3 linked regions of the Ovis aries genome follow. The protein of the gene in region 3 purifies or fractionates together with the protein of the main gene of each other region. This does not show direct contact. Links are inferred from orthologs where the notes say so. Each region holds a gene or a part of one and is shown on either strand. Other genes may lie near its edges. The genes, in order: RPA1, UBR5 and ZUP1.

Region 1 (9,958 bases), on a different chromosome or scaffold from region 3:
ATGAAAGTGAAAAGTGAAAGTGAAGTCGCTCAGTCATATTCGACTCCTAGTGACCCCATGGACTCAGCCTACCAGGCTCCTCCGTCCATGGGATTTTCCAGGCAAGAGTACTGGAGTGGGGTGCCATTGCCTTCTCCTGTTATATGCCAATTAGGTCTAAATAGAAATAAAACTTTAGAAGTTAGAAAGTATGCACATCCGGTAGAATTGGCTCAATAAACTTACCCATGCAAACACATGGCCAAATGCCAATTAAAATTATGCAGATTTACAAAAAAATAATGCAGATCTCTTATTGAAACAGGAAAGAGGTCCATTCTTTAGTGCTAGGAGCAAAGTGTTACAGAATAATATGCATAATATAATCCCATTTTTAAGTTAAAACTATAATTACACACATAAAAGCAGAGAGAAAAGTAGTCAGCTACATAAGCAATTATTGCTGACAGGCGGGATTAAGGACAATTTTGTTTTTTCTTGTCTGCAGGTTATTTTTTCTACAATGAACATGGATTACTTGAGTTAAGAAATAATCAATGGTCCAAATAGTACCCATTCTTTTTTTTATTGACGTTAACAATACTTATCAGCTTAATAATAAAACATACTCAGTTGGCTTCTTTTTCAAAACAATGAAAATTAAACATCTAAAGTTTTTTTTGAGAGGGAAAGAAAAAAAAAAATATTATTCCCAAAAGTGTTTCTGAAAGCCATAGCTCTACCAGCAGAGTGGATTATAAAACCAAGAGCTAACAAACCACATAAAAGAGGGTGGGAGGGAGCCCTGGGGGGTGGGGGGGATATCCTCTTTGAGATAAGGAAATAATCAATTTACTAGAGGAGGAGTAGTGGGTTTCTAACAAGTGACAAGAAGAGACTGAACAACCAGTTTCATTTTCTATAAATAAAATCTGAGAAGGCATGTTGCCAAAGAAACACAAGTCAATATCCAAACCTTTATACACTGGGCTACCAAACTTGACTTTTAGACAGTATATTAATTACGTAGTCAATAACTATGGGTTTCATTAGGGTATTAAACGCCATAATCGATATTATTTATACTTTTCGAAGATGGGCCACTCAGGAAAAGATGTGGGGGAGGGGAAGTTTTTGATCCTGAAGTTCAAAAAGTCAGAATGAGCACACCAGAGATTACTAAGGCCTTAATGGAAAGCGTAAAACACAGAAAATATGGACAGAAATCAGATTATTACCCTTTCTCCCCCCCTGCCTCCATCACAATGAGACTGGAAGGGATCCAAGAGCCATTTAAAACAAAGACGAAATGATTAGATTTTTCCCTAATTGTCTAACGCTGATGTCATGGTGTACACAAAATAAACATTGATCTCTAAGTGAAAGATGAGAAATAGAACATGAACAGCCTTTCGAGGTTAAACTATCTCCAAGAGAATTCTAAGAACTGTGGGCCAGAATCTATTTAGGTGACCCTCAGGGACCTGAGGCTCTTAAAAGCCTAACAGTGGAGCCAATTTCTGATGCTCCTCTGCCAGTGATCTGCTTTTTAGTGGGGAATCTGCTCTACATGCCCCCTCGAGGGAGCCGCCCCATCTCAGAGCATCCCTCTGTGGGCTTCTAAGCACATCCGCAGAGACGTGCTGGTGTCACCTCATGGTCGTGAACGCATGGCGGCTGGTACCATGTTCCGGGAGAGGCGTTGGGGTCACGCTGCCGGTCAGTGCTCTTCGCAGGGTGGGAGCCGTGATGGGGAGAGGTGGGGATGCTGGGAGCGGTAGATATAAAAGACTGGTTACCAGGCTGAAAGCTAGATTGCTACTTCCAACCCACAATTTGTCAATCCACCATAGCACTGAAGACTGTAATTTTCTAGTCAGCGCTTTACGAGCAAGGTCAGACAGAAAGGAGCTTCCGTAAAAAATCGCCGAGGCCTTGGTCGGAGAATCAAGTGCAGCCCGGTGGCTATCTTCTGAGACTAGACCGTGTCCAGACAATTAGAGGGCCTGAGAGAAGGCCATCCTAGGTTCTGAGCCATGGAAGTCATCCTGCCTGACGCCAACTGGTTCCTCCCGGCAGAGGAAGGCTAAGGATGACACAGGCGGGACGTGCTCACTCCTCCAGCCTAGCAAGGGCCTCCATGTGCCACGCTCACCCAGATTAAAAACCAGGGCCCGGCACCACAGGAAGACTGCAATGCTGCCTGGATGCTTGGAAAGAGGTGTGCTGCAAACGCCAAATGAGGGGCTGCAGCGACCGGATAGATAATTAATATGATTAGGAACACACAGAGCAAGCATGTTCTTGCCGACTGAAAAGCCCAGTAGCATAATTACTGTTTTCTTACCAGCTCACTGTCTGTTCACATTTCAAAGCCTGGTTGGTGTTAAGACCGCTGTGTAAACATCAATAAAATCCCAAAGTGCCGGATCATCAGCATTCCGGGGCACAATGGCTTTTTGTTTTTGGTGTTTTCATTCTTTTAAAGATGCATTTCAAGGTTGCAGACATTAGGAAGAATGATCTCTATGCTTTGGACTAATCTTTGAGTTTGTAATGAGTTAACATCTCCCCCAAGTGAACATTTATTATGAAGGCTAATTAATTGCTTTCCAGTTACAAGAACCCTTTGCATTCAAAGAAAGTGGGATTCATAAGCAGAGAATAAACTGTTTATTAAACAAGGCAATGGCAACAAAGGGCTTCTCCCTTCAGAATCCCTTCTATTTAATACAGCTTTAATCAAGAAAAGAAAACATACAAATGCAAGAAATACGTACAGGTAGAAAAGGCGTACCAACAGAAATGCAACATTAATTGAAGGGGAGACGAAAGCGATGCTTTGTAGTTGCTGGGATGTCTCTAGGGGACAGCAAGTCAATGCTTATCAGCCTTCCTCAGAAGAGACCATTTTGATTAATATCAGACCCATCTGACTCAGTCTATTAAACCCTGAAGGAAGGATATTCTTCAGATATAAAAGATATGACTTTGATTAATAATTCTACCCTATTGCCATTCCAGGCATTAACAACTGTGTGGCCCCTCTAGAAAGGGAGCCTTTGAAATCAAGGAAGACAGGCTTCCTAAAACACTCAAGTTCCTCCACAAAACCACTTCTCAGCACTCCCCTGGGAAGGGGCCCGAGCTGAGAAGGTGTCGCCACTGGAGAAGCGGGAACCCTGCCTACATAATTTAGTTCACTGTCTACAGATTGAGGGTCAATTTCCTGTGACATAATTTCTGGTTGAAAATAACGAGATCTTAGTAAAACTGACAAAAGCCTAAGGACAGGGGGTGAGTGGCACTACAGTCTGTGCAGCTGACCCCGAGGTCTGACACGGTTTACACCAGAGCCCTGCGAGCGTATTTCCCTTTGCTGTCAGTGGGTTCCCAGGTGTGACGAGAGGCGATGGCTTAGTCTGTGGTAGAGGGGTGCTCTGCACCGCTGTCAGTCGGGGCGGGGATGGTGGTGCGCGTGGAGGCTGGGGGTGGGGGGGGGGGGGGGATTCAATCAGCCCTCTATCCACACGCTCCTGCCCCCTTGGCAGGATCCTCTCACATCGCCGCGTTCCTCCTGATGTTCATGACCAGCCTTCTGCCGTATTCTTTGTAGTCCACAGGCTTCACATCCACCACCGTGGCCTTAATCCGAGACTCATCCTTTGAAAAGAGAAGAACGATTTGTGATGGAAGAAACACCTGTGGCCATGCTCCTGGTTTCAGTGACCCCAACAGGAGAGAGCACGAAGACATGCTGGTGGTTCAGAGTCCCGAGAGCCCAGGAAAGGAGCCGTGCTGATGAGCACCGGGGCAAAGGCCCTGCACCGGTTCCTCATGGTCCCAGACACTCGGAAACCTGGACTCCAACAGAGCCAGAAACGGGAGCCCAGAAGACAGTGGCTTGCTAAAGCTACGCCACGGGCTCTGTGAGCGGGCGGTAGGAGAGCAGCCGTGCTCGCAGCAGAGGGCGAAGCCTGCTTCGGCCTGCCTCAGCTCCGTGAGAGGCGACCTTGCTGCCCTTCACCACCCCTGCCCACGCCACACAGGGACCAGTGACCCTTCCACCCCTCCCCCTCGACCACCCCCACCCCACCCTGACACCACACTGCTGACATCGAAAGGCTCATTTAATGCTCACAAAACCAGGCACAGCTGTTAGCAGGTATTAGGGTTCAGGCCTGACAAGAAAGCAGAGCAAGCAAATCCTGAAACAAGCAAGGTTTTCTGAATTCTCCTGTCGCCTGTTCACCAGGTTGGACAGTGCCTTCAGAGGCAGACTGGGGTGAGGCCAGCTCAGGGCCTGCACACTCCAGCTCTGTACCTACAAAACCCAGTCAGATCTCTAAGCATGTGTAGAGCTCTGAGGCTGGACTGCCTACATGCAATTATCAGCTGTGCCACTTGCTAGCGTATGAATTTAGGCAAGTTACTCAACTCTCCGTAACTACAGCTTTTCACTAGCAAAATGCAGGCAACAACAGTTCCTTCACACAGGGTTACTGCTAGGATGAATGGAGACGAAGTATGCAAAGGGTGGGGAACAGTATCTGGCAGATAGTCAGCACTCAATAAAGGCTGTTTTTTCATGATTTTATAATTGTATGACGTTATGAGCAATTAAAGGAATTTCCAAGGTAATGTTAACCACATGTGGTCTTTCTCTCATATACTGACTTTAGAACCCAAACCATGGGGAAGATGGGGTTTGTGTCTGTCAGGACACAAACCAAAATCCCCCAGGTTTTAACTGAAAAGGCCACACAGCATGTTTTCCTTGGCTGTTATTACTGGACATGACCCCTAACCTCTCTCTTGGTCTGTTTGCTCATCTGAAAACAGAGATGGTAACAGCACCCTAATGTTGGTGACTCAGTGAGTAATACATGCAGGGTGTTACGAGTTGGGTCTGGAACACAGTAAGCGAGGAACTGACAGCTAACACTGTAGTGGGGTTGTGGGTGACAGACGAGAGTTCTATGCTGCTACCCTCACGCACCACGGGTGACGCTACTTACATTGTAGGTCTCCAGTTTGACCCTGATCCTGAACGTAAAAGATCGAAAGTTGGCATTCTGGAAAACTTCCTCAAATGCTTGCTCGTTCTGCAGAAACAAAACGTAAAACTGTCAGCATGGAAACTACCAGACCACCTTAAATTATCTATACGGTTTTTAAAAAGACTTGGAGGAAAATCTCTGAGAAAATGATTACCTCCCAGTGGCTTGAAATTTCTTAGGAATGACTAATATATAGGTGACATTTCATCGCATAAAACTGTTTAGGTAGAATTTTATTAAAAATTAAAATACTCTACCTAGAGTACTCAATTTCATACAGACAGAAAGTGGAATGATGGCTGCCAGGGGCAACAGACAGTTAGTGTTTGATGGGTACAGGGTTTCAGCTGAGGAGGATGAAAAAGTTCTACAGCTGGATGATGGTGGCAGCTGCACAGCAATATGAAGGTATTTTAATGCCGGTGAACTTATACATGTGGGCTTCCCTGGTGGCTCAGCTGGTAAAGCCACCTGCAATGGAGGAGACCTGGGTTCAGTCCCTGGGTTGGGAAGATTCTCTGGAGAAGGGAAAGGCTGCCCACTCCATATTCTGGCCTGGAGAATGCCACGGGCTGTATAGTCCATGCGGCTTCCCTGGGTTCAGTCCCTGGGTCGGGAAGATCCAGCGGAGAAGGAAATGGCAACCCTCTCCAGTACTTTTGCCTGGAAAATTCCATGGACGGAGGAGACTGGTAGGCTATAGTCCATGGGATTGCAAAGAGTCAGACACGACTGAGCAACTTTACTGGTTCACTGGTATAGTCCCTGGGGTCGCAAAAGAGTCGGATACGACTAAGCGACTTTCACTCACTCACTCACAATGGTAAATTTTACGGATATTTTATCACAATAGAAAAAAACTAAACACTCTTAAACACATTTCTAAACTTTCAAAACCTGTGATGGAATAGATCTGAGGCTCAGAATCTTCAGAACAAATTAAGAATGGACGAGGACTCAGGAAAAAAGTTCAAGCTGTCATATATACATTATTTCAGCCTCTGGATTTACAGATGTAGTAAGTGAAGAAGACAGGAGAAGTGGGCAAAAGTTAGGGAAGAAGTTTAAAATTCACAGTTCTCTCTTACTGGCCTCTCAAATACTATTTGATTAAGCTTCTGAATTTAAAAAAAAAAGTCTGGTAAACGGAGGGATTAGAGAAAGCATTTTACACAAATATGCATAAAATAAATGTACAAGAACTTTTAATAAAATTAATAGTTCATATCAGTCAAGTATTATTTGCAAGCCACTTGGAACATGAAAATAGCTTTGTTATATATAGAACTCTTTATATAAAGGTTACTACACACACACACACACACACACACACACACACACACAGAGTCCTCAGGCTTTTGGGTATGTAAATAAAACAATGTGTTAAACCTTCAGAAAATTGTACCAGCTGCCATCATTCTTTCAAGATTAGTCAAAGCGTGGAGCGCATACTCCAAGAATATTATGATTCCTGAGGGGAGAGTTCCTATATGTCCTCATTCACTGGCAGTAAAACCAGTCAAATGTAATAAGCCCATAAAAAATCCTGAAAGGCTGCCTCGAGCCTTAAAAGCTGATATGAAAATAGAGGACCAGGCAAAACAGATAAAAGATACCATCATACTTTAAAGTCAATTCCAGTTATTTCTGTAAAAGGGCTTGTTGGGATTATTTTCAGAGAGCTCATGGACAATTTCAAAGAGACAAAAGGGCAGAGCTAAATGAAGAGAAGACAGGAAAAGAAAAAACACACACACACACACCCCAAAACAAATGACAAATCCTTTTTTGCTACTGGCTTTTACAAGTATCCTAACCGATTTGGAGGACAATGGGGGAGAAAAATCTATAGACAGATACTAATTTGTGTGGCCCAGAAACTATAGCTTTTATTGGTCTTTGTATGTTTTATCTGAGCAAACATCTTTCTTAACTTTAGGATAACTAGTAATCTAGTCCTTGAATTAAACAAAACTACTATGTGAAAATACTTTTATAAAAATTAAATGGAGAAAGTGACCTTACGAAAGAAAGTTACTTTGTAAGAACATATCTGACAATCTGAAAGAAGCACATACCTTATACGTGAATTTAAACCAGGATTTGACTCAACTTTTCAGAAAAGTGTTTATTACTTTAAAAAGGCACATTGAATAAAGATGTGGTATGGATACACATGGGAACACTACTCAGCCATAAAATAGAATGAAATAATACCATCTGCAGCAACACGGATACAAGAGATTATCACACTAAGCAAAGTCAGAAAAAGACAAATACCACAGAACACTATTTACATGTGGAATCTAACACACGACGCAAACGAACCTGTCTAGGGGGCAGAAACAGACTCAAGACACAGGGAACAAACTCAAGACACTCAGAAACAGACTCAAGACACGGTTATCCTGGGGGGTGGGGGAGTGGGTGGAGAGGGATGGACTGGGAGCTCGGGGCTAGGAGAGACAAGCCATCACATACAGAATGGGTGGATAACAAGGTCCTACTGTAAAGCACAGGGAACTAGTCAACATCCCAGGATAAACCATAATGGGGAGACCACAGTGGACTTAAAGTTTATTATTACAGACTCAAAAAATAAAGGTATCTGGACTTCAGCTCACTTCAGAAGATACTTCCAGATCTCAAGTGACTACAGGCACACCGACTCTTAGAAACAGGAGGAAAAAGTGCTTTCTACTTAGAAAGGGCTGGTTTTAAAGAATTTTATACACATGACTTCATCACCTCATTGTTAGCACATCTGAGGTGGACACAATTAGAATTAGATGAGCTCTCACAGTCAGCAGTGAGAGACGCTATACAACACCCACCAGCAATAGACCAACAGTTATCAGAGCAAAAAACAGGTAAGTCACAGCATGGGAACTACTACAGAAATGATACAGGACATGGCCGACCTTCTCTTTTAATTCCCCGAGATACGCAGTGTTTTGTCCAAGGATGGCCTCTGCAGACTCCTGGAAACATGTGACCCACTGATTCTCTTGAAAATCGGCAATATTGACCTAAAAAACACAACTTCACATCATTACACCAAAGAAGTAACAAAAGGAAGACACACTAAGAAGACTGGGAGATTGACTTTCTCCATTCCTTCAAAGAGTTTCTAGGGAAAAGAGCCGATTCCACCAAATAGCTATGTTCTTTCCAAAGAATGTAAAAAGCATCCAGGAGAGAAGTTCAAAATGTTAAGTGTGGATCACAGCAGGAACGTGATATGGTGTGGACGTGTGATTTCAGTTCTCAGGGGAGATACAACCCAACAAAAATCACCTTCAGATGCAGGATCCGGGCACAGTGGACTCAGAGGCCCTCCAGCTTCAAGGGGCTTTGGACTAAAGGTTTTGAATGAGTCTCCAATGTCTTCTGCATTTTAAACTGTACACCCTTCAGTCACCAGGAGGTGCTCCCTAAGACTGCTCTCAGTCAGTGCTGTGCACCCCAGACAATCTGAAAGCCTGAACTGAGAGACAAGCCAGTCTCCACAGTACCAGGAGCTTCACAGGGACAAGAAACACCAGAGCGGTCCTCGTGCACCCATCCTACTTACTGACAGGATCATGCGGTACTTGAAGTTGGGGAATTCACTGTCACACTTCTCGCAGCGGTACAATCCGTTCTGCTGGTCGATCACTTTCTTGTTACAATCCTGAGTTGGGCAGGCCTGGTACATACAGTTCTCTTTGCGAAGATACACCACGGTTGCCACAGAGCTAAAATAGTCAGGCTTCAGGAGAAGAGAGTGGCATGAGGCAAAGAGCACAGACCAAAGTTCAGGACTGGACCTGCCCTGACATATGAGGGGTAAGCGTTTGCATATTCTCACAATGTGATTATAAGGGATAATTCGTTCTATAGTTTCAGAGGTTACTTGAACTGACTACAAAATCCAGAAGCGTAACAAACCAAGTTCTAAAGCATATTACTCCTTAATAAGAAAGAAGTTAATTCTAAACTGTGCTGTGCTTAGTTACTCAGTGGTGTCTGACTCTTTGTGACCCCATGGACTAGCCCACCAGGCTCCTTTGTCCATGGGGATTCTCTAGGCAAGAATACTGGAGTGAGTTGTCATGCTCTCGAGATCTTCCCAACTCAAGGATCGAACCCAGGTCTCTCGCATTGCAGGTGGATTCTTTACTGTCTGAGCCACCAGGGAAGTCCTTAATTCTAAATTAGACTAAACTATTTAATTAAAACTGAAATAGACTACATGAAAGAAAAAGACTTCAAGAGATCTTGATCTTGTTGCTCCTGTTCCTCTGCCCCTCCGAAGGTAACAGAACCAGGAAATACACAGTGACACAGTGAACTCTAGCACAGTTATCTTCAACCAGTCCTCCTGTGTTAAAAACAACAGCAGTGATTTCGAGCATCTCGATTCAACTTTGTCTTTGGTCAACAAGCATTTTCTGTAAAAAGCCAGACAGCGTCTATCTCAGGCTTTACAAGCCATCAGGTCACAGTCTGTTGCAGCTACTCGTCCTGCTGCTGGGGTGCAAGACCATCCACAGACAGTCTAGAGATGAGAACGCGTGGCTGGTTTCAATGCATTTGTACTTACAATAGGCGGCAGGCTAGATATGGCCCATGGGCCTGTTTGTGGACCCCCAGTCTAAGTCATCAAGTTCAGTAGAATGCAAAAAGACTGAACAAGTGCCTTCAAAGTGGAGACAGCACTGGTAAATAAATGTGGCAAGGACCAAGTCACAAGCATAGGCTTTCTGTTGCTGCTATTTGCTTTGCCTTTTAACTGTCATGGAAAGGGTACAGGACGAATAATTTTGGAGGGTGGTGAGCAGTTCCCTCTGGGTGTACTCTGAACTCAGGGCCAGATGAATCCTCACTCTAAAAGGCTCTAGAGCAGCGGTCCCCAACCTTTTCAGCACCCGGGACCA
Region 2 (10,678 bases), on a different chromosome or scaffold from region 3:
GATGCTCTATTCCACCCTAATACTGTGTTTTTTTGGTGTAGCACAATGAAACTTTAAGCAGCTTTCAACTATTATAACCTCTACCCACCACAATCTTTGTTCAGCTCCACATACTCCCAGGCCTCTTTTCTGGATCCTACTGAAGGGATGAGGATATGGCTGAGTCTTTAAAACCCAACAGTTCCTAATAAAATAAGATGCACTTACTAAATGCCAGGTATTGTGCAAAAAGCTCTTTCTGTGTCAACCCTGCCCAACAGAATTTGCAGTGATCATGGCACTGTTCTGTATCTGCACTGTCCGAGCTACTAGCTACATGTGGGTACAGAGCACTTGAAATGTGATTACTGTTACTATGGAACTGACTTGTTAATTTTATTTCTTTTCAACTAATTTCAATTTAAGTAAGTCATGTCTTGAGACTAACTTATATTGCTTGAATTTTTCATAAATTTCCCTTTAGTTTTACATCTGTATATATTCAAGATGATCTATGATAGAGTTTCTGAACCTCACCACAACTGACATCATGGATAGGTTCATACTTTACTGTGGGGCTGTCCTGTGCATTGCAGGGTGGTGAGCACCACCTCTGATGTCTACCCAACCAGAGGCCAGTAACAATGCCCCAACTGGGACAACCAAAAAATGTCTCCAAACACGGCAAACATCCCCGGGGGTGGGGGGGTGGGGGGGGGGGGGGGGGGGGGGGGGGGGGGGGGTGCGGGGAGCAAAAACTACACCCAATTGAGAACCACTGGTCTAAGACTAACAGTCTGGATTCTGCACTCAATGCTAAGGATATTCTAGTGCAATTCCTCTAGTGCCTGTTTTCCTATTTGGAAACCAGACAAAATGTAAAAGCTGTAAAAAGTAACTATCTCTTTATAATATTTTCCACAGAACCTATAATATTGTGCTTTCCCACCTGCTATCTCAACTATTCTTCACCAACAAGGGTACTACTATACCTGACTTAGAAACTGAGTCTGGAGGGGTGGGGAGGAGTGGCAGGGAATGAGACTGTAAGGGCTTAAACGACTTGCCTACCACAACATAGTTAATAACTAGCAGGGCTGAGACAAACCAGATTTAGGAATTCTTAATTTTAAACTCCTATCTACACTACCTTACTCTGTAGCCTTATAGCTTCTAAAGGGGGAGCTCCTTGGAGAAAAACCTTTTCAATGTAACAGTCTCAACCCAGATTGTTTCTGGTCACACAGCACATTATAATGCCTAAGAGCAAAGCTCACAGGAAAATTCCACATCCAGACCAACAACGTGAACTGCGTTGCAATGTAGCCAACCTGCATCCCAAAGAGTAATTCAAGACAGGGACTAGTCTCAGGAACACATATCACCTTAAAAGGCCTCTCCTGACCTAGTACTAGGAAAGCATTAAGAGGTTCCACGCTCTGACAAAAGGCCTAAATCAATTTGAAGTGCAGGAGGGAGGCGTTGGGGAGGAGAAATCAAAACTCTAAGACAGGTGGCTGCACAAAGGCTGGGACACCTCAGAAAGCAGAGATTTCCTAGAATACAGGCCATGTGGGACAGTGAAGAGACCTGGACTTCAAAAATTAGAAGACCCATCATGTGGCTCTCATCTGTCAGTACCATGGATAAAGTCGGTAAACTCAGGCCTGGTTTTCCAGCGCATCTGTGAAAAGAATGGTCTACTGACTTCTTCGGCACTTCCCAGGATTTGTTGAGTTGCACTTCCAGCTCGCCTCTCAATCTCAAAATGCAGTACCATGTTCTTGGTATGGTTTTTACTACTGATTATTTCTTGAGATGTTTTAAGCAGGAACATAGCACTAACTCAAGGAATTTGCTAGAAAGAAAATCAAAATGTCACACAAGTATCTGAGCACTGAGCGGTTTCAATTCCATACAAAGAATATTTGCTGAGGGGCCAGCTCTCTGCACCAGGGACCTTGTAATCACTCTGGAAATCCACAACCAATATCCTAGGCTCTAGGAATGCCTAGCCATCCCCACCTGTATTCAACTACTGCATTATTTGGTCTCCCAGGGCCAATAATTAAAGATGTTAACCCAATATACCAAGACTGTCACAGAAATGCATGAGTGCGTGCTTAATCACGTCCAACTCTTTTGCAACCCCATGGACTGTAGCCCATCAGGCTCCTCTGTCCATGGGATTTCCCAGGCAAGAATACTGGAGTGGGTTGCCATTTCCCTCTCCAGAGGATCTTCCCAATCCAGGGATCAAATTCATGTCTCCTTCACTGGCAGGATTCTTTACTGCTGGGAAGCCCATCACAAAAATAACAAGCATAAAAACACAGAGGAAACGCACTCCAGTATTCCTGCCTGGGAAATCCATAGATAAGAGAGACTGGTGAGCTACAGTCCACGGAGTGGCAAAGAGTCAGACTTGACTTTAGAGACTAAACAACAATTTTTAGCTTTAGCTTTTTTGCCTCCACATCACCCTGTTAGTATCATTCTGCCTTCTGTTTACCATTTGTTTTGTTTTGCCTGCTTCTTTTATTCCTCCTGCTAAAAAAGAAAAAACACAGAGGGAAAAAAATCAGATTTTTTTTTTAATACTGAGTACATTTTAAATGCTGACATCACATTTCTACACTAAACAAAATATATGACTTTTAATAGGATGCAGCCATTTTAAATAGAAAACTTTATTTGTACAGCACAATATTGGTGTTTTGAGGCGTTTTATTTGACTAAGCAATTTATTTTCAATACCATGCTGCCAGTCCAATCTTACTGCTTTTTGGGTAAATACTAACGTCTATGTATTTATATATATATATATTTTTTTTTTTTTCACCAAAACTATCAATTATCTTTTTGTTAGATTTTTATCTAAAGGCAAAAATTTTCTGGGCTCATTCTAGTTAAGTTAAAAGGTTCCAGAGAAAGAGTCTCCTGTGGGGAAAGATTTCCCTTAAACAATGCAGCAAAGGGTTGATCTAGTATTTTGCAACAAGGTATGCATACAGGATCTTCTTCTGAAGGGGAGACACAGAACAGCTCCACAAGTCAACTACTTCAAAACTGGAAAGCATGACTATTTCAAGCGCTGCTTTCATAAAACAGACCAGACATTCTACTGCTATGAGATACAACTACAGGTTCCTAAAATTTTATCTACAGCTGTTTTTTTTAATATCTACTACATTCTTGATGCACATATTTTACAGTCTCATTTTCGAAACCACCTGTCTTTATTTCTCATGAAAACTGAAAATGATCCAAATAGTCTCAATATTGTATACTGAGAGTACAGGAGTCAAAGCTGATTATTTGTTTACACCAAGAATGAAAAAAGAAAAGGTAGCTTTAAAAAGGATACATGTAAATTTCTAGACTAGCTGAAAAAAGAATGCTCAAAAATTATTCAAAGTGCCTAACAAAACCGCAAAATAGGTTTTGGCATGCATGATCAATTGAGTAAATTAGTTAGGATTCCTGGTATATAAAGTTAGGACTAGTATAAAAAATACACCGTGTATGTCTCTTCTGGTGCAATGTAACAAGTTCCCCCACAAGCACGGCCAACTGGATTCTATGAATGACAGACAGTACAGCTATCCTCACTACTAGCCTGGTTCTAAAATTTACCCCCCCCCCCAAAAAAAAACCTTATGTAAAAGTCTTAACAAAAGATATGTAATGAAATAAAATCGGAGTAAGACTGCATTATAAAATAAATGACTTAAAACTTATTTTCGTACTTAAAAGAACTATGTGACCACTCCAAATGATTAGTATTTTGAGAAAGTATTCCAAAAGTTCTACAAACATGTGAAATACAATATGGCTACAACAGCAAAGATTAGACAAATCCGAACCCAATGCCAGAAACCAAGCCTCCAGCTTCCCGGATTGAAAGGCTGTCCGCCCCACCTGAGGCAGTTAGATTCCCCGAAACAGAGGCCGGTATATCAGCAGAAGTTAGGCCTCCTCCTCCCTCAGGGAAGTGCATGACAAACAGGGCTTCATGCAATTTATGTCACCCGGTCACTTAACAAAAATCATATCTAACTTCTAAACGTGGGCCCTGACGGCCTTCTATATTTATGAGGAAGAGAGAGCAGCGAAAGTGTTGGTATAGAAACTTCAAATGCCCCACTTTCTGACCCTGTAAAACATTTAGCCCATCATTCGATCTGAGTCCTAGATTCTCAGCCTTGCCTAATGGAGGTTTCCCTCAACCTTTTCGGAATCTCTGTTTTGCAACAGTGAAGGAACTTTTCCTGCTTTATCTCAGTTCCCTGAGAGCATGCGGCCTTGCAATTCAATATCCTAAACTGGCAGGGAACGGTGGAGGAGGGAAGGGGAGGAATCCGGAGTCAAAACAGCCTCCTTATGAAAGACCAAAAAAAAAAAATCATAATGCCTCCTCCGCCCATAGCAAAACCCATCCCAGAAATTTACAGCGTGTTAAGAAAAGCAGCACTGCGAACTGCAAACGTAAGAGTTTTCCTTTGACTCTACGCACGGTTTTCAGCTGTCAAATTACAACTCAGGAAAACACTATCATTAGAATAAAAAAAGGAAACAAAAAAGCTCGCACCACAGGGACTGGGAAACAGGAGCTGCCAGCACCGTTTCCAGAGAAAACAGAGCAAAGGGAACCCAATCCACTTCCCTCCCCGCCCCCCACCCTCGCCTAAATTCATCCCCTCCCCGGACCGGCAAACCTCACTGCAGGGGCTCAAATTTAATAATAATAACAATAATCATGGCGCTTCCTCCCTCCCGCCACCCCACCCGCGATCTGCAGGGAATCAGCTTCTCCCACCCAGGTCCCCCGACCCCACCCCGCCCCGCCTCCCCTTCCCCCAGGAGCCCCAGGCCCCCGCCGGTCCGACCACCCCACCGGACACAGCTCCCGGGAGCCCGGGCGAACCCAGCCTACCCCGGGGCCCCTCGCCCGGCTCCTCCGCTTCCCTCTTTTTTTTTTTTTTCAGCCTCCACCATCCCCCATCCGCATTGTCTGTCTCAATTCAACTTTGACTAATATGGATTCCTCGGGCCTGGCCCGGGCGGTGATGAAGCTCCCCGCACCGGGAGCTGGATACCCACCCGCCGCCCCCACCGAGTTGAACGCGGCTCCTCCGTGGAGGCGGGGGGACCAGGGGGCGTTAGAGGGTGCAGTGCTCTTCCCCGTCCACAGCTCGCTTCCCCCCACACCCCCCCGACCCCGCGGCCCCGGTCCTTGGGACCAGAAGTTTGCCCCGGAAGGGGCCTAGCCGGGGGGCAGTGAGGACCCCCGCCCTCCCCACCGGCCGCCGGTCCGGCGCGGCCCCGTGGGGGAGGGGAGGGCGGGGAGGCGCCCCTCCCCCCGCCGCCCGCCGGCCGGCCCGCCCGCCGGCCCTATTACCTGTCATTGAGCTGGTCCTCGGTGCCCGGCAGCGGGTGAACCACGAAATGGATGGACGTCATGGTGCTTCCTTCTCGTCGTCCTCTCGAGGACGGCCCCCTCCCGCTCGGCTCCCCCCACCCCCGAACCCCTTCCCCTCGTCAAAACCCACAGCCACAGCCGCCGCCGCCTCCCGGTCCCCAAATGAGAGAAGCAAATGCGCAGGGGCCGCCGCCGCCGCCGCCGCCGCCTCCCTGCCGGGCGTGTGTCCGAGGCGCGGCGGTCCGGCGGGGCGGGCAGGAGGGCGGATCAACACGCCACCCCGCTCCCTCAGCGACAGGGCGCAGGAGTGCGAGGCCGGCGGCCGGGACCCGGGGCGCGCCGCCGCTGCCGCCGCCACCGGCAGCCGGACGTCGGGAGAGAGGGGCCCGACTGAGGAGGGGAGGGGGACGGGCTGCGGGCTGTGGGGCCGGTGTGTGGTCCCGGCGGCGGACGGGGTCCGGACTAGGGAGGTGGGGAGGGAAATGAGCCCGCTCGGCGCGTCACTGGCGAGAAGAAGCCGCCGCCGCCACCACCAGCACCGCCGCCGCCATCTTCACTTCTGCCCCAGTTTCTCCGTCTCGCAGGCTCCGCTCCCGAGCGGAGGGGGAGGGGCGAACGGGAGGAGGAGGAGGAGGGAGGAGACCGGCGGGCGTGGGGCACGGCCGCGAGGGGGCGGGGCTCCGGGAAACGGGCGGCGAGGCCCTGCCGATTGGGCGGCTCAGCCACGGCGCTGTAAGGCGCGCGCCGATTGGGCCGTTCGGCTCCCGAGCCCGGCCCCCCCCCGGGGGGGTGGGCTCGCTCCCGAGTGAGTGTTCCGGAGAGCACGTGTTCGGGACAGATGAGGCGGAGGGGCGAGCCGGCTGGGGCGGGGAGTCCGGGAGAGAGGCTAAGTGTGTGTCCCCGGCGCGGTGGTGGTGGGAGGGAACAGGGGCTCCTCCAGTCTCGCGCTCTGATTTCTCTTGGGGCAGCCCTAATTATTTTGCGGACCCTTAGGGGTTTTCTGTTGTTGTTTCTCGTCCTTCACATCCGCAGTTATATTTAAAGTGGAAGTGTAGAAATCTGTTAAGGGGCAAGAAACGGACAGCGTTTTATTGGAGAAGTAAGGTAGTTATGTAAGGGCCTTTCCAGAAGGTCCAATCGTAGGATTATAGAGCTGACTTTGCAGCAACTTCTTTTTATCACCCTGATTTCCCCAATCCCACCCCCCACCCCCACGCAACCGCCACCATCACGTATCCACACAAAGACAAAATGTGGAAATTTCCACCGATTTCCTGATTTAAATGACTCATGAATTTTTAATTCTTTTAAATGAAAGATGAAATATCAGTTTCATCGAAGATGTTTCGTTCTTCAGCTTATGATCAGTGGGATCATAAGGGCTAATTCTTAAATAGATCTGCCTTTTTCTAGGGAACCAGTTAATAGATTTTTTTCTCAAAGGCTTCTCTGGCCCCTTCAAAAAAATCAAGTACTTCTTTCAAGAAAAAAAAAGTGAAAACACGAAGCCTCTTTCTCCAGTATGTTCCGTTAAATTAAGGGTCCTGTGAAACGTTCTTAATTTTAAATATCACTTTTCTTCTGTTACTGCATTACACATACGCACTTGCTTAGAAGTTCTTTTGAACAAAATATATGACTATTTATAAATCAGGATAGAGTAGGTACCCCTTGAGACAGATAATGGAACACTTTTGTAGGTCACCAGCTCCAAAATGGCCCAGATTAGACTAAAAAGTGATTTCAAAGCCTCTATTAGAAATTCGTGGGGGCCACAGGGAAGCAGAGGAAACCAATGGACACTGTTAGTTTTGGAGCCAGACGGACTTGAATTTGTGCCGTTTCTAATAATTATTAATTGTGTGGACTTGATTATATCATTTAACCTATCATAGCATCTTTTTTTCCTCATTTGTGAAATATTCCATAGTAATAGATCTATGTAGGGTTTTGGTGAGGCCTAAATAAGATAATGTATGTCAAGTACCTAGAGCACTTCATAACATTTAGTAATGTCAGCAAGCAGAAGTTTTTTTGTCAAGTTGCTCATTGTGTGCCACTTGACTACATACCACTTTATACACTTATGTCTTTCATTACTCAAATCACATTATGGAGTAAATAATATTATCGCCATTATATAGATGAAGATACTGAGGCCCAAATACCTTATAAGTGCTGAAACTGATTCCATTGCTCTTTCCACTATACCACAACTGTCATCTACTTAATAATTTAGAAGGAACAGATTATTCAAAGTCAATGGGAAAATCTGATATGATAAATGCAATAAGAGTGCTATGAAAGTTAAAGGAGGAAGTGGTTCCAGCCAAGAGAATTAAGAAAAGTCATTTCATTTAAGCTTTCAAGAATGTTCTGGGAAAACAGAACATCCAGTTTGAACTTGGTCATTTTAGTTGTGCCCCTGGACAAACTCCAAAGTCCATGCTATACTTTGCTTCATTTCTCTTTCTTCCATATCTGCCCTCCTTCATCTTTTCATTGTGCTTCCATCCTGCTTTCAACTTGATTTACCAACTGAGATTTTCTATCCTGGTTGAAGGCTGGTCTCATCACTCTTCGGCAGCCCATTCAAAGTACCCACTTGGTCTCTGACTGACAACTATCTTGGCATTGTCCAGGCTGCTGTGTTAGAACATTCATCTCCCTAACACTATGGTGGGTCACACTTTGAACCCGGAAGAGCAAGAATAAAGACACAGAGTTGTGCATCACATGGATGGGGAAGGAGGGAATACAGATAAGGAAGGGAAATAAGCAAGGTTCAAGCAGAAGCTTCTTTGAAAAGCCGAAGTACAATACAAGTTGAGAAAAGAAGGCTGGAGTGAGCTTCTTTCCTAACAATTTGAACTAATTTATTTGAGGACAACTAAAAAGTTAACCAACAATATTTCTTTAAACCTGCTTAAAGGAACAGGAGAGTTAACAAAATAATGATGAATTACCACACTAGGATCCAAGGGATGAATAAGACCCAAAGAAGTGAGTCCTGTGTTTAGAGCCACTTTTCCCCCTGGGATGAATGCCAGTTCCAGAAAGACCTAATAAGAAGCCAAGAAGTTGAGCAGTTCTGACAAATTCTCAGAGCTAAGACAACAGGAACTGATGTCCAAGGTTCCCTAATGCAATAGTGAGTGAGTACTAATGAACTCCTCTCACTTTGTATGGAGCCCAAAGGACTGCAGCTCTGAAATTAGCCATGTCTTAGAGTTGGTTTCCCCCAAGACATACATTGAGTCAAGGATGTGGCCACAAGTATTTAGGAAGTGACTGCAGGAAGCACTATATGGAAACGGAGAAATGAGACAGCGAATGGAGAAAAGTCAATAAAAGTGGGTTGATGAACGTTTTGCCACTGTAGACAACTAGAATTCAATCCCACCGTGGACAACTGGAACTCAGTCCCACTGGGGGTCATCAGAGAGACTGTTAGGACATATCTTGGAATTAGCTCACTGAGCGGAGAGGAAGCTAGAGGTATTTATCCATTAATTCTACCTCTCAGTAGTTGAGGATTGTTCCTGGGATGTGAATCCCCTTACACTTCAAGATTTTCCCACTTGTGGGCAAAGCACACTCCTAAGGCCAAAATATAGCATCAAGAATGAAACAAACAGACAAAAAAGGAATGAAAGAAATATAAAGATACTGGGGGTGGGGCAGGGAAGAGGGGGGCAAAGTGAGAAAAAAAGAAAAAGAAATGTGAGAAATTTTAAGCAGTTGACCCATACTAAAAGGTATGAGTCAGGTAAAAGGAAACTGATTTCCTGGTATAAGCGCAGACAGGCATAAAATAATGAAAAATAAAAAGGGAAAATATGTAGGTATATGAATGTTGACTGAATAAACAACGGGGCATAAAATTCCAAAACACCGACTATACCAAATGCTGGCAAGGATGTAGAACAATTAGGACTTTCATTGATTCCTGGTGGGAATGCAAAATGGTACAGCTATCTTAGAAGATAGTTTATGGTTTCTTACAAAACTAACATACTCTTAACATGTGATCCAGGAATCATGCTCCTCAATATTTACCCAAAGGAGTTGAAAGTTTATGTCCACACAAAAACCTGCACATAGATGCTCACACCAGCTTTATTCACAATTGTTAAAACTTAGAAGCAACAACAAAGTCCTTCAGTAGGTGAATGTGTAAATAAACTGTGGTTACATGCATACAATGGAAGATTATTCAGTACAAAAAGGAAATGAGCTATAAAGCATAAAAAGACATGAAGGAACCTTAAATGCATGTTACTAAGTGAATCTCCCTGCAACGCAGGAGACCCGGGTTTGATCCCTGGGTCAGGAAGATCCTCTGGAGAAGGGAATGGCAACATACTCCAGTATTCTTGCCTGGAGAATCCCATGGTCAGAGGAGCCTGGGAGGCTACAGTCTGTCAGGTCACAGAGTCAGACACAACTGAGCGACTAACGCTGCTACTACTAAGTGACAGGAGTCAATCTGAGGTTATATACTGATGACCCCGACTATATGACGTTCTGGAAAAGGCAAAGCTGTGGCAATGGCTAAAAGATTCATGACTGCCCGAGGTTAGTGGAGATGGGAAGAACAGGCAAAGCAGAGGATACTTAAAGCAGTGAAATACTTTGTATGATCTATAACAGTGAATACATATCAGTATAAACTTGTGCAAGCCAATAAAATGTTCAAAACCTAGAGTGAATCCTAATGTAAACCATGAACTCTGGATGATAATGATTTATCGATGTAGGTTTTCCAGTTTTAACAATTGGGTCACTCTGGTAGAAGATGTTGATAGTGGGCAAAACTATCTATGGCAGGGGGGCAGGGAGTATATGAGAAATCTTCATACCTTCCTTTCAGTTTTGCCGTGAACCTAAAACTGCTCTAAAAAACAAAGTCTGTTTAAAAAATCCTAAACAAGAAATTCACTGGCAGCGATTAGGAATGTGCACTTTTGCTGCCAAGGGCCTGGGTTCAATCTCTGGTCGGAAAACTAAGATCCTACAAACTGCGTGATACGGAAAACAAACAAACAGGTATTAGCAAAACAAATTCAACAGGATATACAACAAGGAGTAGATCACAAACAAGTTGGATGATTTGACATATGGAAATCAAAAAATGTAATTCACCATATTGACATAATGCAAGAGAAAAATCATTAATTGAGTAAGAAAAAGAATGTTACAGAATTCTGTAAGCATTCATGAAGAAAGTTTCTTAGCAAACTATGAATAGAAGGGGACTTCTTTAATTTGATAAAG
Region 3 (10,678 bases):
ATAAATTATTCTTAAAACTCAACAGTATCAAAGAAACACATGATTCTAAATGTGTATGCACCAACAACAGAGCCTCACAATATATGAAACAAGTCTGATAGAGCCTAAAGGAAAAACAGACAAATATACTGGGATATATAGATATATATAGATCATAATAGGGAACTTTAAGCTCCTTCCAAAAACTGGTAGAACTGCTGGACAGGAAATCAGTAAGGACATGGAAGATCTGAACACAATCAAACAACACACTCTGACAAATATAGAACATTTGATCCAACAACATCAGAATTTTTTTTCTTCAAATGTCTATGGAACATGTGAACATGTGCTAAAACAGACCATATCCCATATCTTAGGCCATAAAACAAGTTTAAATAACTTGAACAAATTCAAAAGAACTTAAATCATAGTTTGCTCTCTGATCAAAAAAGAATCAAAGTAGAACTCAGTAACAGAAAATCACAATCCCAGAGAATCCAGATGCCACTGGCCTGGGTAGTAAATAAAAGAATACCCTCTGGAAACTGGTCTTCCCTGTGGCTTAGTTGGTAAAGAATCTGCCTGCAATGCAAGAGACCCAGGTTCCATCCCTCGGTTGGAAAGATCCCCTGGAGAAGGAAATGTAACCCACTCCAGTATTCTTGCCTGGAGAATTTCATGGACAGAAGAACCTTGTAGGCTATAGTCCATGAGATCACACAGAGTCAGACAGGACTGAGCAACTAACACTTTCATTTTCACTTTCTTCCTCTGGAAACTAGACTGTGAGTCTGCTTCTCCTCAAGTTTCTACAGCTACTTTCGAAGTAGATGAAACATTTGTTTGTATCAAAACTCTTTTCCGTTATAGTAGTTTCATATTATAATTGGCAAATGAGCAATGCTATAAACTGAAATTAAAAACACATTTGTAGTAATCTTATTTACAAACCAACTTTTGGGATACTACATATTAAATTGAGACTAATGCTACTTATTATATAAAATGAATACTTTACCTTCTAATGGAGTGTCTAAAAGATCAGCATGCTTTGTTTTCACATGAGTTTCCATATCTTGACTATTATCTTCTATTTTTTCACAGAATGGACATTCAGGAGGACTGTACATCGTTTCATAAATTGATTCTTTAATTTTGGTTCGGTCAGACTGTCTTTCCGTACTTTTCAGGAATTTTCTAGATTCAGTTAAGTTCTCTGAATAAAAGTCTTTATGTTTTAAAGTACCATCCTCAGGCAGGCTTTGAGCTGAAATCTTCGGCTGATTAGATGCACAAGCTGAATGAACACTTGAATTAATGTCTGCTCTACACTGTAGGCTGCTGTCCTTCCTGTTATCGGAAGTTCCATACTGTATTGTATTAATCCTCTCAAAGTTTCTTTCTAGTTCATTTTGCTCAAAATGAGCAGTTTCAATATGAAAACACATTTCATCATAATTTACACCTGACAACTTGCAAAATGGACATATAACTTCATTTTCCATGTGAACAGTTAGGTGAGCCTTCATGTCTGGTTCTGAGGATACTGTTTCACCACAAATATCACAAGATAGCATGGTAGAGCAGGTAACTAGAAAAGAATACAATGTTATTTATGTTAGAAAGTAAGAGCTGAAGAAAAAGAAAATACATTTTATAAAAGGATTTGGAACAACTATATATGTTATTTATGACTAGATTATTTAGATGAAGAAATTTTCAATGTCCTTACTGTTCCTCAAATATACTAATTTATTTATAAATCTCAACTACTGTATTTCAAGTTAATGGTTTGGATAAAACAAAGGCAAAGCGAAAGTGAAGTTGCTCAGTCGTGTCTGACTTTTATGGACTGTAGTCCATCAGGCTCTTCCATCCATGGGGTTTTCCAGGCAAGAATACTGGAGTGAGTTCTTATTTCCTTCTTCAAGGGATCTTCCTGACCCAGCCCTGGGTCAGATTCTTTACTCTCTGAGCCACCAGGGAATCCCTAAACAAAGGCAATGATACTGCAAATTGAAATAAAAAATTTTTCAAAAATTTCAGTGTGTCTGGACTGAGGTAAAGAAAAAATAATGTATATAAACTCACCCAGGTAAAATAAGCCAAGTAAGAGAAAACAAAGAGAAGAAACCTTATCAACCAATATATCTAAATACAAAAACTTTAAAGTTAACAATCAGTTGCGCAAATAAACAAATTCCATAATAGCAGCTAACAGTTGAAGAGTTTTATATGTCAAACTAATTAAAGCACCATTACTATCATTCTGGGCTTCACTGATGGCTCAGCGGTAAAGAATCTACCTGCAATGCAGGAGACGCAAGTTGGATCCCTGGGTCGGGAAGATCCCCTAGAGGAGGGCATAGCAACCCACTCCAGTATTCTTGCCATGAAAATCCCATGTACAGAGGAGCCTGTCAGGCTATAGTCCATGCGGTTGTAAGGACTGAATTGACTGGGCACACACGATCATTCTAAATGAAGGAAACTGGCTCAAAGTCACCAGCACCAGAAAATGATTAGCCCAAATGCTAACCCAGTCAGGCTCCAGAGGTGCACTCTCCACCCAAAACATAAAAGCACAGTGAACACAGTTAAAAAGAGCACTGATTCCAGAGTCAAGAGAACTGCGTTATAATCTCAGGTTTCATAATTTTAGATGACACACCTCCCCTTTCTGAGGTTCGGCCTACAAAATGAGTTACACTGAATCAGCAGTCACTTCTGGGCTTTACAAATTTCTGGCTCTGACACAAATTTTGCTAAGAAGTTTTTCAAAAGCAAGCACAGTCACAACCTTTCTACTACCTAGACTATCTTTCAGCTAGAAACTGTTTTAAAACAAAGAGAAAGTGAAAATAAGGAAACTATCCCCACTATTTAAATAAATTTAGTTTAATAAGATCGCCCAACTTCGTCTCCCTGCCCCCCACCCCTTTTCCTCAGACAAGTGAAAACAGTCTCTGATTTTGATGTAAATTCTCCCAAACCATCAGTGCAAAGAACGTGACACTCAGAGAATTTTCTTCTTTTCCCGGGCCGGGACCCAGAATGGTGTGCTTGAGCTCCCCAACACTTAGAGCAAGTGGATGACACATGTGTGGAGGTCGGCGGAAGGTGCCGGAGCCTGCCCAAAGGTCCATGGCAACGTCCCAAGGCCAGGATATGAAACCAGTCCCGATACTAACTGGGTCAAAGCATTCGGCCTAGGGATCCAGGGCTGGGACGGTCAGTTCCTACCGGCCTGAAGAGCCGGCCGCTGTCACACTGCCCTTCTTCTTCGGATCCCGCAGCAGATGCCGTCTGGCTCGCGGGCAAAGGAGTGCTGCGCGCTGTCGATTCCCTTTCCCGGCCTGAAAAACTGAGGTAGGCCCTTATTTTTACCCAGACACTGACGGTTAACCGAGAAGAGAACCAGCGACTCTGAAAAGCCTCAGCCTCCGGACGCACATTCAAAAAAGCTTTTCCTCTCTTCCCCGGAAGAGAAGGAATCCCAGCATGAACCTCTGCACGCTGATCTGGGTCGTGGTGGATTGTGGGAGTCGTAGTCGTTTCCCCGTCAAGGTTCCAACGCCTAATTTAAGACGAGACACTAGACTCAGAGGTCTCTATGAATGAATTCTCAGGTTGTGTCCTAAGGCATTACACGAATCCACAATATCCACTGTCAATGGCAACACACTCCAGCACTCTTGCGTGGCAAATCCCATGGATGGAGAAGCCTGGTAGGCTGCAGCCCGTGGAGTCGCTAGGAGTCGGACACGACTGAGCGACTTCACTTTCACTTTTCACTTTCCTGCATTGGAGAAGGAAATGGCAACCCGCTCCAGTATTCTTGCCTGGAGAATCCCAGGGACGGGGGAGCCTGGTAGGCTGCCGTCTCTGGGGTCGCACAGAGTCGGAGACGACTGAAGCGACTTAGCAGCAGCAGCAGGGCCTGACTGAGTAGCACTCTCACATTATCAAGCAAGGGCTTATAATGTTACAGCGTGCCAAAGTCCTCTAACTATGGAGGGTGGCAAAGACCTGTTCTTGCTTCACGGTTACAAGATAACGCTATTTTGATCCCTGAATTAAAAATATGAAACAGCTCTTGGTACTTAAAAAATACAATATCAGAATTTAAAAAATCATATTAATAGAGAGCTGTAAGATAACCCAAAATTTTCTCAGAAAAGAGAACAAAAAGAACAAGAGATGGAAAACAGAAGCTTCTTTGGGGAAGGAATCATGTGTTATTTATCTTGCATATTCTGTGCCTAGAACTACATAGAGAAAACAACCTGTTTTCAATACTGCTTGTTCAACCCCAAGGTTGAACCATGTGTTGAACAAGGCTGTATGTGTGTTATAAAAAATCAAGAGTACTTTACTTGGAGTTATTTCATACATCAGTGGCTACTATTTTGCAAAAAAAAAATCCACAGATGTCACGGCATCCAAAAATTTTCAACTGAAAGGTTGAAACAAATGAGCAGAGAAGATAGGAAGAAGTGAATGAGGTTGAAGAAAATGAAGCTCCACGAGGTCAGGATTTTTATCCGTTGTGTACACTATTGTACCTCCAACATCAAATCAAGTCTGGCACAGATTAGTCCCTCCGTCAATACTACGTTGTAAAATGAATAAATGAATGGATGGAAGCTTGGGCGGATGGATGAACAAAAGAACGAACGGGTGAATGACAGAACTGGCAGGGAGCACTACTGCTGTCAGGGCAGTAGGACACACTTCTGCCACAGCAACGCGCAGAGTTAAAATCCCAGAGTCTAGAAGTCGCCGGATCCTCCATGAGTGGGTGGGGCTGGGGCGTCCGCGTCTCTCCGCCCCTCTGCCTGTCGGAGCAGCAGCTTCGCGGCCGCCGCCGCCGCCGCCGCCACCGCTGCCGCGTGCAAGGGCTTCTGGGAGCCCAGACTTGGGGGTCTAGAGTAAGGGGCGCAGGAGGCCGCCATCTTGCGTTGTGAGCCTGGTCTCTGTACTCATAGCTAGGGGCGGAGGGCTGACCCCACAGTTACCGCAGCAGCCGCCACAGCCGGAGACTGGGAAGTCAGGGCGCCGGCTAGTGCCACATTAATGGGTAAGTGGGAGTGACACGCCAGGTGGGGTGAGCCTCGGGTTTGGTCCTTTCGGAAGCTACTAGGTCCTGAGGCCACTGTTTTTATCTTCCCCTACAATTGGAGAAGGAAATGGCAACCCACTCCAGTGTTCTTGCCTGGAGAATCCCAGGGACGGGGAGCCTGGTGAGCTGCCGTCTCTGGGGTCGCACAGAGTCGGACACGACTGAAGCGACTTACCAGCAGTAGCAGTAGCAGCAGCAGCAGCAACAAAGGGTTCCGGGCCGGGCCGGGTCCTCTCAGCTTTTCCAGAGGGAGACAGCGGTGGCGGGGGCGTGGCGGCCAGACCTTTCCCTTGAGGACGCGAAGGCGCAGGGAGCTCAGAGCCTCCCCGAGAGCCAGGCTGATGATGCTCAGGAGCTTTAGGCACAGGATCCTCTCGCCGCTCTGCTCCGCTGTCTCTCGGCAGTTATTAGTATTTTTTTTTTCTTTCGGTACATGGTCTTATCGGACGTTGCCTGCCACTTCAGGGGCTCAGCAATCTGTTCCGCTTGTTAGAAGTTCTTTTGTGTCCAGAATAAGGCAGGTTCAGCCCCAGGGGCCTACGTGTCGCACCCTCTACGTCCAGCGCTGCCGTCCACCTGGCGCAGATGCCTGGAAGGGCTCAGTGCTGACGCGGGCCAGCGCGGGTTAGATGCTTCTGCTAGATCACTTCCAAGGTGACAGTTTAATAGTGTCTCCTCACTAATGCACAAGAGTTGAGAGGAATTGAAATCTGTGAGAAGGGATAGTGCTACTTCAAAAGAATATGACACTGGCATTTACTCTTCGTTTTTTTTTGAACACTTTTTAAAAAAACCTGATCTGATGTCTCTTAGTTACAGCATTCCATGATTTATATTTTATTTAAAAAAAGTGACTTTCTCTCATGGTAAACAGGAATAGCTCTGTCCTTTAGATCTTCAGGTACTGCTTGTTTGCTTGTAGGGGTTCTGATTGCTGCACTTTCCCCTTTGTACTGATCTTGTCATTTTACTAACAGACACCCAAGCCCATAGAAACGCAGGCTTTATGGAGACAAGAAATTCCGTTAATATGTTTTAGAAAAAGTTCAGATTCCAGTTGTTTGCCTAACCTCAGCACAGTTTTTTCAAAGAGTGGAGTCAAAAATAAGCTTATGACTGAAAAAAAAAAATTCCTCTGGCAACATTATAGTGTTTGATTGGCATTTCTTATATTTGAAATAACTTGTATGAGACAGCAGGCTTTGAAGTATAGTCTTTTAAGCTATATTCCAGAGAAAGAAAATCCCCTTGGGTGATGCAGCTTTAAAAAATCATTTTCCTTGAACTTTATATCCCCTTTAAAGCAACTGCAGTGAGGATGCAGATGTTAAATAAGAGACAAGAAGTTAGTACTATAGAAGGAAAACAAATAATATATGAGTTGCTGGCGTGAGATTTTATTTGGTTAGCATTTATACTGAAAGATTTTAATTTGTCATTGCCTAGATTGATGATCTTAGGAGTACTGTCTGCTGTGTGTGATGGGAGGCACAAGGTAATTCAATCAGATGTGGGGAGAAGATATTAGAACTTATGCTTATCTTATAAAACTATTTTTAAAAAAATTTCTGTGAATTTATAATTGGATAGTTTATTAAGTTAGTAATATGCATATATAAATAAACAAGCATATTGAGGGTGCATTCCCAAATGTATTTTGTGTGCATAGGATATGTGATCAAAAGTTTAGAGGCCAGTGGCTTAGAAGATGCCTAATGTATAGGTGGTAAATATTGTAAAGAGGTCTGTTGCTGCGAACATTTCATTTTGCTAAGATATTATACTGTTAAGTGTAATTCAACAACTAATATGAAGCCCAGTTTGCTTGGTAATTAACTTTGTTTTTCCCTTCCAAGCCTAAGCTTTTGTTAGTGCAACAGAGATTTTATATATAAAATAGAGAATAATGCTAAACGTTATTAAGAAAGTTAGATTGAACTGTTTCTAGACATAAGTATTTGTAGGTGCACACAGTATTGCTAAAATTAATTTATTGACTTTTATAAGGAGATATTGGTTGATTATACATGTATTTTAGTTGCACAACTATATGCATGTGTTAAGAGGTGCAAAGTACTTTTTAAAGCATTGTAAAGTCCTCAGCCCTTTCCATTCTACCTTTAGTTCCACCACTAAAGAAATTTCTCTGTCTTTACCAGTGACCTGATTATCAAGTCTACCTTCCTATGGCACTTGACTTATTGCAGACACTTAAATATTTGTGGGATAAATCAGTGAATGAATAAATTGAGTGACTATTTTTTTTAGTGTCACTGCAACTGAAATATTTCTTTATCTTTTAAATTCCCTCCTTTTTCATGGCTCTTATTTTCTTCTGATCCTTCTATTTATGTTTGGTTTCCTTTGCTTTCCATGGAAATGTGAACATTCTTAAGATTTCTCCTTTGGGCATCTTTCTTTTATAGCTCTAATGCTCTTGAATGATCATTCAATACTCTTTTCCTGAGTTTGACTCATAATTTTTAACCATCTATAAATCAAAACCTTCTGTTTGTGCTCTATGTACTATAAATTTAACACATTTAAGATTAAAGTCACTATACATTATTAGAGTGGCTGCAGTAAACAATAACAAAATTCTAATAAGGGTAGCCAGGATACAGAGCAACAGTAATAGCTAATGAAAATGCAGAGTGGTATACTTACTTTTCAGAATGGCAGTTGTAAAATGTGGAGCATATGCTTGTCCTATTATCCATAGATTCTACTCCTACACATTTACCTGAGAGAAATGAAAACTTATATTTACACAACCTGTACATTGAGTGTTTATAACAGTTTTATTTGTAACTGCCCTAAACTAGAAACCACCTAAATGTCCTTAAGCTAGTGAATCAATAAACTATGGTATATCTGTACAATAGAATATTACTAAACAATAAAGAATGAATTTTGATACATGCCGACAATATGATGACTCACAGATATACTATGTTAAATGAAGGAAGACGATTAAGACTATATACTGTTATAATTTCATTTATGTGAAATTTGGGTAAAGGCAGAGCTATGGAAATCGTGGTTACCAGGTTTTAGGAGTAGGAGAAGGACTAAATAGGAGCAACATGAGGAAGTTCTGGGGGGAATTATGAAGCTGTTCTATATCTTAATTGTGTTGGTTATATGCCTGAGCATTGTGTCAAGTTCGTAGAATTGTGTACTGAGTGATTTTTGCTGTACGTAAATGAAAAATAAAATAATTGAATTCATTGTTTTCAACTCAAAAACGAGGAGGCAAAAACACAAAACCACCACGCCAATCCTCCATCTGTATTCCCTGTCTTGGGTTATTTTGTCCTTATTCTGAAAGAGTTCATGCTGAAAACCATGAAATCATCCTCAACTCCTTTTTCTTTCTTAGCACATATTCCTTATGTTCTCTTGGTCTCTAATTCTTATTGAATCAATATCTGAAATGTTTCTGGCATCAGTCTGTCTTCTGTGTTTTTCAGTGCAGCTACTAATTTACTTTAGGTCTTTTATCATCAATGTTTGAAACAACCTTCTCTTTAATTTCTTTATTCTTCTCCTTAGGATCAAGACCAGATTTCTCAGCTAGATTGCAGGAACTATATATTTCAGCCTTACCTACCTTTCTGGTTTTATCTCCTGCCCCTTTTAAAATATATTTTATGTTTATGTTTTGTATATTTATAAAATGTTTATGTGTTAATTTTTTAAAATATGTATAATAAAACTACTTAAAGTATAGAAACATTTCAGTATTTTAAATGAAATAATTATACTCTAGTACTGAAAATTGGTATTGTAGTCATAACTCAAGTCCTGACCTATGTGGTTTTAGTTCTTTAGGCAGTTCCTTAAGTAAATGAAAGAAGCCAGACACCAATAAATACATCAGGTGTGCTTACTGAAACTTGATGCCATATTTTGTTGAAAATAAGACAATTCATTGCTGATTATTTCTTGATTTTTCCAGAAGCTGTGATTTAGAAGTTTTTTATCCAGCTGTTTCATGATTGTTTCCTGGCTAACAGTTATTTTAAGATGCACCTCACTTATAGAAAGGTTAAAATACCAGGGATAGGAGAGTGCCTCTCCGAATCAGTGAAATTATGATAATGACTTTGTATTTAGACCAAAATCTATTATTTGTTTGATAGTAAAGTCCTAAAACATTTGATCGTTTTCCTCCAATTTTGATGTGGGAGTGAGAGGATGTATTCATTGTACATAATTTTCAGGATGAGTTTTGTTGGTGTATTTGATCCACGAGCCTGAATTTAGTTGTCCCAGAGTAAACATCTCATGTTATTTTGAAAGTAATATATATCTATTTTCCTCTCCTAATCTTAAGATGCCATGGCTAGTCCTGGGAAAGATAACTATAGAATGAAAAGTTATAAGAATAAAGCCCTAAACCCCCAGGAGATGCGTAGACGAAGAGAAGAAGAAGGAATACAGCTTCGAAAACAAAAAAGAGAAGAACAGGTAGGTGTTATAAAATATTTAATGCTGTTATTGCTAATTTTTGGATAATTTTAAATGAAAAATTTTTTCTAGGAAATTGAATATAAATGTATTTTTATTAGAATCCAATAATATTAGCAAATTCATGAATCGGAACCCTATGCTATTTTTAATCCCTGACAAGAATGCCTTTTCTATTCCATTGATACACCTTTATGTCAGTATTTCTACCCCAATATTTCTACCCCCAGACATATTTACTCTTGAGCCTATTTCTATCACTTCCACTGAGCGCTGTAAAATTTGCCCCCTAGAAAAACATTAACTCTATTCATTTGTCACTTTGTGGTTTTCATAATCCTTGCCCCTAAGTTAATTATAATCATTTTCCTGTGCTGCTCATACTGTTCCTCCTGTAGTCTCATCAGGCAGACCTCTTAGCCTTCTCTGTTTGAGCTTTATATATGGAACATAAGGAATAGAAAAATTCATTTAGAAGAGTGCATCTCCACATGTTTCATTCCAAGATACACTGAAATTTAGAAGTATTCATAAATAAGTAGAAGGGTATGGTCCTCACATACATAATTAGAACTACTATGTAAAAGGGACTAGCAATGTAGAAAGTAAAAAAAAGCCTGTTTTAGAAATATGATTATCTCCTCTATTTATAGCATCTAACATAGTCTCTACTATATTACAGTAGGTACTTAAGAAAAAAAAGTCTGTTGAATAAATGAATAGGAAAAGAACTGTGTAGAGACTGAGAAGAGCAGAATTTTATTTAGCTATCAAAAAGATTATGATACCAGATTTTTTTTTTATCAGTTTTGACTTATGAAATATACCTGTAAATCATGCTCAGTGACTTGACCATGTCCCTTTCTTCCTCTTTTTTTTTTTTCTTTATGTTCACTCAGTTATTAAGCATAGGGTCATCTTTCCTGAGAGTTGTTCTTGTTACTTGTTAGTCCGATATACTGGCTCTGTTAATATATCACATTATCTCACTCATATAACAGATCTGGTTTCCTTCTTAGATATCTCATAATTCAGTGTAGGCATATGTGTTTTTCCAAGTGCTATAAAATATAAATATGTGTTCTGTTTATGATACTGGAA

What was found.
Region 1: the proteins of ZUP1 (region 3) and RPA1 purify together in Homo sapiens (affinity purification with western blotting; 4 studies listed by BioGRID, with this or other methods). This does not show direct contact. The link is inferred for Ovis aries from reciprocal best matches to the Homo sapiens genes ZUP1 and RPA1.
Region 2: the proteins of ZUP1 (region 3) and UBR5 purify together in Homo sapiens (affinity purification with mass spectrometry, with the first as the bait; 3 studies listed by BioGRID). This does not show direct contact. The link is inferred for Ovis aries from reciprocal best matches to the Homo sapiens genes ZUP1 and UBR5.

Annotation. Positions count from the first base shown.
Region 1 is NC_056064.1:22,827,553-22,837,510, reverse strand, and holds the end of RPA1 (replication protein A 70 kDa DNA-binding subunit), read right to left. Parts: intron 8,791-9,958; coding exon 8,614-8,790; intron 8,069-8,613; coding exon 7,961-8,068; intron 5,085-7,960; coding exon 4,998-5,084; intron 3,643-4,997; coding exon 3,538-3,642; downstream 1-3,537. UniProt on the Homo sapiens protein: As part of the heterotrimeric replication protein A complex (RPA/RP-A), binds and stabilizes single-stranded DNA intermediates that form during DNA replication or upon DNA stress.
Region 2 is NC_056062.1:74,929,109-74,939,786, reverse strand, and holds the start of UBR5 (E3 ubiquitin-protein ligase UBR5), read right to left. Parts: upstream 5,963-10,678; 5' UTR 5,443-5,962; coding exon 5,381-5,442; intron 1-5,380. UniProt on the Homo sapiens protein: E3 ubiquitin-protein ligase involved in different protein quality control pathways in the cytoplasm and nucleus. Mainly acts as a ubiquitin chain elongator that extends pre-ubiquitinated substrates.
Region 3 is NC_056061.1:21,144,943-21,155,620, reverse strand, and holds the start of ZUP1 (zinc finger-containing ubiquitin peptidase 1), read right to left. Parts: upstream 5,683-10,678; 5' UTR 5,280-5,682; intron 5,063-5,279; coding exon of another isoform or gene 5,059-5,062; exon of another isoform or gene 4,897-5,058; intron 3,455-4,896; exon of another isoform or gene 3,174-3,454; intron 1,574-3,173; 5' UTR 1,560-1,573; coding exon 1,001-1,559; intron 1-1,000. Other genes in the region: KPNA5 (importin subunit alpha-6), read left to right, coding at 5,059-5,062, 9,444-9,577. UniProt on the Homo sapiens protein: Deubiquitinase with endodeubiquitinase activity that specifically interacts with and cleaves 'Lys-63'-linked long polyubiquitin chains. Shows only weak activity against 'Lys-11' and 'Lys-48'-linked chains.